2 linked regions of the Arabidopsis thaliana genome follow. The protein of the gene in region 1 interacts with the protein of each later gene in a pairwise test. Each region holds a gene or a part of one and is shown on either strand. Other genes may lie near its edges.

Region 1 (5,875 bases):
CCGAAGCTCAGAAATCAGCAGAAGACGGAAGAAATAGAGGTTCCTCACCTACTTAATTGTGTTCAATATAAACAAAATACGAAACTACCCTCGATATTTTGCTTAGGGTTTGGATGAGCAGGGGTAGTTTTGGTCAAGTTGGGCTTTGACTTTAAACAAATCAAATTGGGCTTTGTGCAAATCAAATTAAAATTTGGTTTCCATTTTTGACGAGATTTTATTTTGGTCCACGTTTGGTACTTTGAAAAATACAAATATGACGTGTGCTGAATTGACAAAAAAAAAAACAGACACATAAAGTGTGATCTAACAACGTTTAGCAGATTTCAAAGAAAGAAATAAATCTTAAAATAGAAGAATCTTGCCTTTTGTCAGTAAAAACATATACCAATTTAACCGTATTTTTATCACTATTTTGGCAAATATCTTCTGGAATTTAATTCCATTTGACCTTATTCTAAAATATTGAGTTTCTTTTTGGGGAGAAGTTACTTGGGACATGGATTTTTAAATAGAATTGAGAGACTAGTTTATTACTTTATTGTGTATACAAACTTACAAAGTACAATTCCTATATAAACTGTTTTTTTTGTTTCCACAATTCTTTAGCTAATTTTTTTGTCGCTACACAAAAAAGTAAAAACTCGTAAAAAGCTATCTTTAACTCGAATATTTACTCGGCATGAAGCCCATACATATAGGAGGTCTAACGCCGGCCAAAGCAAGAACCGACGACGGCAAAATCCATAGACCATCTCCACATATCAAACCGGAAGCAACCGCCGGTACCATTAAACCGGCTTTAACTCGATCTCTCATATTCCAAGCAAACACAATCAAACTTCCCACACACATATCAATAGCAAAGTACCCTCCAACAAGAAACGGAACCGCCATTGCCATCGGTAATGGAACCCAATTCCCTATCTTATCCGGTAACCTATCCCTAACGAGATTTGCCGCCACCGCGAATGCGAAAAACCCGTAACAAAGCTGTAAACAATGTTGAGGCAAAGCAGAGAAACCTTCAACTCCAAGAATTGCCATGTTTCTGTATACCAAAGCGTAAGGAGCTTTGTACTCTCCCTCCTGGTTCCCGACATCGAAAGCTTTATAAAACAAGAAGAAAGTTAGAGGCGCCACAACGCATCCGATCGCTGTACCGATCGCTTGACTCACAAGCATCGACCTAGGTGAAGTCAGAGTCAAATGTCCTGTCTTGAAATCGTGCATTAGGTCAGAAGAAATCGATACAATCGATTTTATCAACCCGCATCCGACAAGTCCCGCGACTACACCATTTTGTTTCCCTGCCATAGCGGCTAAGATAAACAGAGCGACTTTACCATAGTTATAAGCCATGTTCATATCTGTTAGCCCTGCTCCATAAGCGTTACTGAAACCTAACGATGGAGCTAACATGTAAGCTACGACTATGAAGTACCATTTCAGCTCGGGGAACATTATAGGGATCGCGATGATCGAGACAACAGAGAACGCTGCGTATCCTACTGCTGCAACCCATAATGGAATGCTGTCTCTTACAAAGATCTCATCTCTTTTAAGATCTGCAATAGATTGCTTATCTTTCTCCGAATCTGCGATTTACGTTTGAACATCAGATAATACATTATTGAAATGACGATTTTTCTATAGTTTTTTTGGTGTATACTTACTAGATTTCCCAGAGTTGCGATTGTTTAACTTGACGTACATGTTTATTCCTGTCTTAAAAAGTATCTTGATGAATTGGTAAAGCCCGTCTCCGAGGATCAATGAGATTGATATAAACACCTAAAGAGTTATGAACAAATTAAGAACGAAAGTACGCGAAAGAAAGGGCGGAGTTTATTGTAGAGTACTAGTGTTTTTTGTATGGAACCTTGTAACCATTGAGACTCTTCATGCTGTTTTCAGGAAGAGTTGATGGGAACCAATCTCCTTTAAGACCTTTAATGAGTGGCCACATGATTCCCCAAGACAGAACCGCGCCAAAAAGCAAAGATATATTGACAATATGGGGACAGATCATTCCTGCTCCAACGTATGTCATGCTAAAGTCGAAGTAGAATCTGTCAAGTTTTTTCAAGATCATCAAGATTCTGTTTCTATCTGTTGATATATAAACAGTCAATAGAACTAAGAATAATACTCACGTGTTCTTCAAAGCTTCTAACCCGAAAGTTGGAAACTGAATGAAACCGCACTCTGTACCACCAGAGAAGAACCATTGGAAGAAAGCCCAAATGAAGCTAAATGAGAAGTACTTCACAAACCCAAACACTTGTTTCCTGCATATAAACAGATTTTATTTAAATCAAAAACTCTAGAATTAGTGGTGAAAGAGAGCTAAGAGACTGCCAAAAAATCGAGTTAATACTTGGCCATTTTATTGCCTTTAGGAGTGTGGAAACCGTTGATCAAAACCGCGGTAGCTGTTCCACTTGGATATGTCAGCTTGTAGTCTATGATCATGATCTGGTTAACCAAAAAAAGAAGCATAATGAACACTTAGCAATGTAGACCCAAACCAGCCAACAGGGGATTAATAGTCCAAACTTGGCCAATATTAATCTCCGTCCTATGTTGGCTATAGCGGGTTTGGCCAGGCCCATATCACACTTATATGGGCCGGACTGACCCGCAAACTTTGGCCTACCGCAACATCTCTAACTACAAATTCAATGAGACAGAATCTTAAATAATCTCTACCTTTCTTAGAGGAACCAATGCTAAAAGACCAACAAAGCAAGTAAAGAACAAGAAAGCGGTCATCCAACCGATTCCAGGCTCTTTCGTGCCTTCCGGATAATTCCCATCAGTGTGAGTTCCTCCTGACTGTTCATAAGTAATTCTGTTCAAACCAAGAAGGTATGAACCAAACCCACCTGCAAATCACACAAACACATAGCTCAAAACAATGATCCAACCCCAAACAAAAACTGATCAAACAGTCAAAACAACTGGTCAAAATTCACTGAACCTCCAACTGCAATGCTGTAACAAGCAACAGCACATGTTTGGACAACAGTGTTCTCTTGTTTAGTGAACGGTTTAGTCACAATCCCGGCTTTGGTCAACAGCTTGGTCCAGCTTCTAAGGAAGACAAAGGCTAAAAGTGCTGCAGAGACATTTAGGTTTGGGACCAAACCTGTTGTTAGGTTTAGTTTCATCACGATCACACTGTAGATTATACCAATGATTAAACTTGCAACAATTCCTCTGAAAGTGATTTGTTCCTTCCATGGAGGTATTGACTTGAAATCATCTCCTTCGTTTTGCGTCTCTTCCAAGTCATCTATTACTTCTCTTTCTATCTCATTCCTTCCCTCTCTCTCCATCATCATACTCCTCATTTTTTTCCAAGAACAGAACAAAAAAACAGAGTTTCTTCTTCTTGATTATCTTTTTTGACAATACTGAAAAAACAAAAATTTGTCAAAACAAAAACCCAAAAGACAGATTCTTTTAATAATTAAATATCAATCAAAAGCTTACTTTTATGGAAAATGACGAGAGGAAAAAAATGGTACCTCTTTTTGGATCAATTGATTCTGGGAATTTTATATAAAGTTTAGAATTTTTCTTGCTTTCCACTCCCAAGCATAATTATCTGAAGAAGAAGAAGAAGAAGAAAAAGAAACAGTTGCTTAGCAAATGAGAAAAAGGAAAACTAGAGATTATTTTAATCAAGTGCATAATCTTTATAACCATAGAATAATGACGCAAGTTATCTCTTATGTTCAGAGATCTAATTAAAAGAATTAGAAAAAAGTTAATGACTCAAGAATCTGCCATTAATCTCTTTTGCTTCAAACACTTTTTTTTCTTTCTGAAATCTGTAGTAAACGTAAGAAAAGAAGAGAATGAAACGTAACTGGTTAATGAAACAGGGACACACACACGAAGACCACACTCCCGTTTCCCAAAGAGATAAAAGAAAAAAAACATTGAATGCTTACACGAAACGAAGACCAAAGAATAGCTAAAAATGGTATAGTTGATTTTTTAAAAATGGACTTTGGTGAGACTACTCAAAGTTATATAGAGAAGTAGAGATGAAGAAGAAAGCTTAAAACCAAGAAGAATTTATTTATGGGATCTTGGGTTCTTATGTACCGCACGTTGACTTGATATCAGTACTACACAAAGAAAAAAGAAAAGAGAAAAGAGTTTTGGGGTTTATGTAGTACAATAATCATTAAGGGGTTAAACTTTATAAAAGTTACGTCACCGAAAAGAAAAAAAGTAGGGTAACAATTAATTATTAAGAATATACTCCACATATATAACCTTCATATATCTCACTAAGAAAGTTATATAATTTATGGATGTATAACTAAATGTCACATACGAAAAATCAAACTTTATAAGTTTGTCAAACACATGACTATTCAACCATTAGATTAGTATGTAGAGGAACAAATGTCATTATCTCTCATAAATATATAACAATTAGGAGTTTAGGTGATGAAATAAGATTAGGAGTCAAATAGTTAGTAAAATTACACTTGAAATGATTTATTCGTAACTTTAGATTTGTGTTTTGGTTAGACTTAGATATAAATTATGAATGTATTTCTATTTCTAAATATTTTTTCCATTAAAATCAGTTCATCCATAATTAAGTTTTTTTTTGTTCTAATTATAAGAGATGGTTAACTTATAACTAGTTACAGATTACAATATCAAAAGTCTTTTAAAAGTCATAAATATGATATCATAACTAATTAACCTTTTATAGTATTAAAATACATGTTTAACTCAATGAATCTGGTGACATTCATGTGAAACTGAAAAAGTGAAAAGTTTGGTAAACCGAGATTCCGGTTCATGTGACTGTCTTTTACTAAACAAGATGATGACATTATGGACAATCTTATGCCATAACTATCCTCTTTATTTTATTGACCACATGATTAATATTAAAGCCAAAATATGGAAACATAACTCTCCATAATGTGAATAATAATTAAAATTTTCTTAGGTAGTCAATCAAGAAAATGGTAAATGTCAACTCCATACCATGTGGTCACAAACATACCAAAACCCCAAAAGAAAATTAAAGTCGAATAAATTATTCAATAAGTTCGACTTTTGATTCTTTACGTCAACACGTCAAATTCATAAGTAGAATTGGACTATTATATTCGGACGTTTCCTGGCCGAATTTGGTGCGTTATATTACACCAATCCTGCGTGATAGGATAAGATCAGATCAAACCAATTAAACCATTTTTTGCCAAGAACATACGAATGAATTTGCATTTTTGAAAACCAAGACTTGTTTAAGACTGAATTTTATAAGATCGTTCCCAACCTATTTCAATCGGCCAGAAATATGTTCAATTTAATGCATTGGTTGATAAAGTTGAATAAACTACTGTAACAGCCGTTGGTTCAAAATAATTTTGTTCACATTATAGTATTTAATGTAGTGTTGACTAGAGTTGGGGTAGTAACTGGTAAGTACCACTAGCTAGCTAGTTATGAAGTGAACGTGTTACAATTCTCTCGTATATTAGATTTTTATTTTCTTACATCGTCCTTCCTTAAACTAAATGATATGTAGTAGTATCATTTAGATCTCTATATGAAGGAAATGGAACTAAAACTGTTAACACGGAAATTGTGTGAATACAAACCACTAGACAATAACTTTCGAATGTCTCGTAGTCGTAGGCATATATATACATGATCGAATATTAATGTGTCCTCGTATGCTAAGTAGATATTACGAGGCCCTATGGAGAAGAAAAAGAGAATAATACTACTCTCTTTTGTACGAACTTTACTTTTCTTTTCCTATATTTTTTTTAAAAATATGTAATTCACTTCTTCCATGCATTCCTTTGAATAATTATTTATGACTTTT
Region 2 (5,069 bases), on another chromosome or scaffold:
TTGGTTAGATGCGCCATATGGGTAGGTAACCGCAAGGCAATTGTTTGGTTACATGGCGGTTATGATGGTAGCCATCAAGTGACATACGACCACAAAACCTTGAAAATGACTTTGTAAGCAAATGCAGAGTAGAAACGTTAATAGAAAACCAAACTTGCCTTGATCCTCTATTGCCCAACTCCTCCAATACATAAGATGTGATAGCAACTTATGTAGGACACACCAAACCAAATAAATTACACAATCTGTGAGTGTCTGTTTTCAAGATTTCCCCGACAATTCCATTAAGCAAAATAAATAATAATAACTCGAAATTGACACAACCACACGAATTTGAAAAAAGCTGAAATCCATATCTCATGGGACTCAAACATCCAATGTTGATTCAATAATTGTAGTCCTAAAAATAAATCAATAACTAATACATTTTCATAAATTTTAGTACTAATACATAAGTTAGCATTTTGGTTTTTAACATAGCTGAAAACAGAACGTCACATTATTTGGAGAAACATTAAGTACTAAATATTTAGCATGAAATAAATTTCATATAATTCATATGGATCACAAGGTTTTTTTTTGGCAAACATAGATTATAAGTCACACTAGTCTAAATTCTTGAAGGGCTTGTATGACTTGACACTATTAATTAAGCCAATGATGGATCCTACGGCGGCAAGGGCCGAGACGATCAAGCAAACCAATACGAGGAGGTTCAAGGCCAACCATCTACGAGAATACTTCTTGACTTTAGCCTGCGCAATGTGCATTGCCACCGGAAAATAAACTGTGAGTGGCCAGAACGCGAATGCCCCTAGCAAACCCAAGATCGCATTGAAGAAGGGGAATATCATTGCTACAAATGTTGTCAAAACAACATAGCATGTCCTCCAAACCAGTCTGAAGAGGTTGACACGACATTTTCCAAGCAAAGGAACCTTTGACGAGTATTCTTTGTTGATGAAATTGCTTTGAGGCCATTTTTTGTTGCAGTTTTCCTCAACAAACTGGAAAAACGGCTGCGCATACACCTGCGAATAATACAGGGATAAAAAAAAAAAAAGAGCATTTTTTAGAAACAATATTTAGTAATAACTCCATTTCTACAATCTTCTGAATTGTTAAAGCTAAAAATTCTAACACAATAATGAGACTTTTAATGAACTTGAACACGGTAAATGTATGTTACACACTTATCCTATTCTTTTGTTTGTGAGTTATACCTGATAGGCACCTATTAGATGGAGAGCAATGCAAGCATTGGCAAAGTCGATGAGCCAATAAGGTTCGTAAAAACCAAAATCGGTAAGGAAGTCACCAGGGGCTTGGTTGCCGAACGCAGCATATCCGATGCAACCACACAAGATGTAGAAAACAGTTGTGGTTGAGACTCCGACAAGACTTGCTCGTTTCATCACTTTGTTCTCTGGTGGGCTTGATCTCAATGTGTCCTGCAAAATAAACAAGACATACTACTAGAGCGTCACTATCTTTAGAGCTTCACATATCTAAAATATGAAACTATTTTTATCCATCATCCATCCATCTATATTTTTTCCTAACTGTCTAATTAATAATAACATCTTATCTTCAAGGTATTCTTATTTTACCTCTCTTTGGCGAAATTAATAATAACAAGCAAATGAAAACAATAGTAAACGGAAGATAGTAGGAATCAGTAGTACATGCCTGAATCTCGATGAGAATAGTGGTAAAAGCGTATGAAAAGGCAATGTCTCCAATCGCTTGAAACAATTTCCAAACTTTTTCAGACGCAGTTACGTCCACACCTATCACTGTCCCTGTCAATTCTGTCTTACCAATCTTCCCACCTTTCATATATATTGTATACCATTTTCACGGTTAGTGTCAACTTTGAAGAATCATCCATATAAACCACTATGTTTTAAGATAAAGAAGGGGAATGTACTTGCTACAGTAGCGATGGCTAGGCCTATTCCGATAGACGCATAAGAGAAGGACATAACCGCGGCGATGATGGATAGGAAAGAGAGCTTGTGGAAGTTAGGAAGCTGGCTCAGAATGATCTGGACGATCCCAAATGCCGCCATGTATGGATAATTCGATACAGAACATTTCGCTTTATGTCCCTTGTCATGATAACAATTTGATTTCCCAATCGCTCTAACGAAGACGTACAAAAACACCAATCAAACAATTATTAGTAATTTTATTCAGAACAACATGTTAGTATAACCATAACAAAATAATCGAAATAAATCAGAATCTTTGACTTACACTAAGCTTATGGAGGCAGTGATGGTGTAACCAATAGTGACCCCTACGAGATTCACGTACTGTGCCACTCCACATAGCTGAACCTTTTTACCACCTGCGTTTTATGTTATTAAAGAAGAAAAATGATTACTCTTGTACTACTATCAAATACTACCAATCTTTTGGTCTTATGGCAAAGTTTCTAAACATCCCGCATAATTCCAAATTTTCAACGAGGGGTCAACAATCGAATTTATAACATTCTTTAACGGGATAAATTGAATTGACTATGTTACCAATCCTAATCAATTTAATTTATTAACTAAGTTATGAAAGAATGAAGATTATCTTCCTTTTTTTTATATAGATTTTGATAATTAATTCATATCTTCCCATGAAAGAGCATGCACACTTGGCAAAATCGTAAATCATTTTTTTCTAACAACCATATTTTTTTCTTTCATTGTTCAACAACAATAATGTTCTTCAACAAATTTACATGGTAAAAAATTGTTGAAATGAGCCAATTATACTGTAGATTTACAAATTCCAACTTAGCATTAAATATATATTTTTAGATCAGATTTTTTTTCTTTCGCCAGCCATCATCATTGTGACAGAAATGGAAGAAAATCAAAACACATGTCCTAAATTGAGACTAGTTAGGCAAAATCTAAATGATATCAAATGAACAAAATCCTTGTTCATCTGAGAAAAAATGTCTAGAAAACTGAAAAATCTGTGAAAAACAATGCTGATAAAGACACAAAATGAATTTGTTTATATGAATCCATACCAAGGTAAGATCGGACGACGCCCATGTAATTATAGTTGCGTGTTCCGGTGATGGAGTCCGGCGAACGGTAACAGTCGGCGAGCAAGGTGGACGTGTAGTAAGTAATGATGGCGAAAGCGACCAAAACTGTGGTTCCTGCCACCCAACCAAGCTGTGCTATAGCCCAAGCCAACGACAGCACCCCTGAGCCTATGACCGCCGTGATTATGTGCGCACTCGCCGTCCAAAATGTTCCCGTTCTCTTCTCTCGACCATCGTCGTCGACGCTTTTCACGGCGGCGTCACCCGACTCCACCGCCGAGGGATTGTTGTATGCGTCCATCATTGTGAGAGAACCACTGAACCAGAGGAGAGAAGAGAGGGGAAGAGAGTTATTGACAGAGGTCGTCTTATTAGAGTACTCCCTCACAATCACGTACTTACATGTATTATATACACAAATATCGATGTTTATATGGAAAGAGCATCTTTGTACGTTGAATCTTATTTATTAAGAGAATCTTCTATTACGAGGATTTATTTCTTTTGACTTTGATTTTGAATGTGTAACCACTATTGCTTATTCCGGAAACAAAAATTGGTCCGCATGTTGAAAAGAGGATTTACCTACATTAACGACACTACGAATAATCGAAATTAGGTAACTGATTAAAATTAGATGAGTAAAACAGAGAGATATTTCCTTCAGATCTTGGCCTCTTGCATAGCTATATCCTCTCTTCTATCTTGCTCATTTATCTTCTCAAATCCTCACATGCACATGATTCATTAATCGGGAAATTAAATCATTAACATTGAGTTATAATGATGTATTGATGTGAATCTATATATATATATTGTTGTATCAACTAAATATTATGATATATCTACAACATTTTGTTATTAGTATCGCATCAAATACAAAATTATGTGGATTTACATGTTTGTATTATATTTTACTACTATTTTAACGGTTTACAAAAACATGTAAACCAAACCATAAATTTCACTAATTTCAATTATGTACGATTTTGAGTCTTCATTACTTCTTATCGTTTCTTTCACTCTTATAGTCTTATCTCACAATCCGTAATTTGTGCACAATTAATGAATTCAATGTTGTATTTTGTCGTATTAAATATGGATTTTGACCAACATAAACCTGATTTTTTAGTGGATTATTTTAAAATATATCCACAAAATATTCCTTCGAATAAAATCCCATTCTAACTATATCCATAAAATGCCCATCCCAATTGTCGAGACAGAATCAGATATCTAAAATGACACATAATAAATGTCGCATATTACACCATTAAAGTACGGTACGTTGACCTCCTACCTGACTATGAACAGCTCATCAGACAGCTCCCTGTGCCCTCAAGTAGGGGTGTGGATAAATTGGTCTGGTTACCGGTAAAATCTGGAGAGTATACCTCAAGATCAGGTTACGGGGTAACATCCTTGACAGTGCTACCAACAGCTCAGGTCCGCTTTAACTGGCAAGCAAACCTTTGGAAACTCCACACTATGCCGAAGATCAAACTTTTCCTATGGAAGGCGGCTGCAGGAGCTCTCCCTGTGGGTGCACAACTCGTAAGAAGGCATATATCATCAACTTGGGATTGTGCACGCTGTGGGGCTCCGGAGACTTCCACCCACATGCTGTTTCACTGTGATTTTGCGGCACAAGTTTGGAACCTAGCGCCCCTCCAATTGGGTCACATCCCTATCGGTACCCCTATTTTGGAAGCTCTTAACTTACTTAAGAAAACCATCGTTCTCCCCCCGGTTGGGATTCATACAGCAACCCTCTTCCCCTGGATCTGTTGGCACATCTGGAAAGCCAGAAATCAGCTTATCTTCCAAAATTCTCATTTCTCTGTGATAGAGACTGTTACAAAGGCGGTTCAGGATGCCTTAGCGTGGCAATCCGCCCAATTGGCGCTCCCAAAAGTTCGTGTAGCGACCCCCCGCCCAAACTCCACAACAACTCTGACTCATGATTTTCTCTGCTACGTGGATGCGGCTTGGCAACAACAGAGCTCCCTCGCTG

What was found. The genes of interacting proteins can lie anywhere in the genome.
Region 2: the proteins of YSL3 (region 1) and AAP8 interact in a protein complementation assay, tested with the Arabidopsis thaliana proteins (one large-scale study listed by BioGRID).

The regions. Positions count from the first base shown.
Region 1 is NC_003076.8:21,753,562-21,759,436, reverse strand, and holds YSL3 (YELLOW STRIPE like 3), read right to left. Parts: upstream 4,187-5,875; 5' UTR 3,712-4,186; exon of another isoform or gene 3,614-3,711; 5' UTR 3,534-3,613; intron 3,445-3,533; exon of another isoform or gene 3,420-3,444; 5' UTR 3,357-3,419; coding exon 2,984-3,356; exon of another isoform or gene 2,889-2,983; coding exon 2,713-2,888; intron 2,479-2,712; coding exon 2,381-2,478; intron 2,292-2,380; coding exon 2,157-2,291; intron 2,073-2,156; coding exon 1,883-2,072; intron 1,795-1,882; coding exon 1,677-1,794; intron 1,599-1,676; coding exon 661-1,598; 3' UTR 504-660; downstream 1-503. UniProt on the Arabidopsis thaliana protein: May be involved in the lateral transport of nicotianamine-chelated metals in the vasculature.
Region 2 is NC_003070.9:3,264,263-3,269,331, reverse strand, and holds AAP8 (amino acid permease 8), read right to left. Parts: upstream 3,447-5,069; 5' UTR 3,360-3,446; coding exon 3,035-3,359; intron 2,354-3,034; coding exon 2,260-2,353; intron 2,146-2,259; coding exon 1,931-2,145; intron 1,833-1,930; coding exon 1,690-1,832; intron 1,452-1,689; coding exon 1,224-1,451; intron 1,032-1,223; coding exon 606-1,031; 3' UTR 509-605; downstream 1-508. Other genes in the region: AT1G10000 (Ribonuclease H-like superfamily protein), read left to right, coding at 4,544-5,069. UniProt on the Arabidopsis thaliana protein: Amino acid-proton symporter. Stereospecific transporter with a broad specificity for glutamate, aspartate and neutral and acidic amino acids.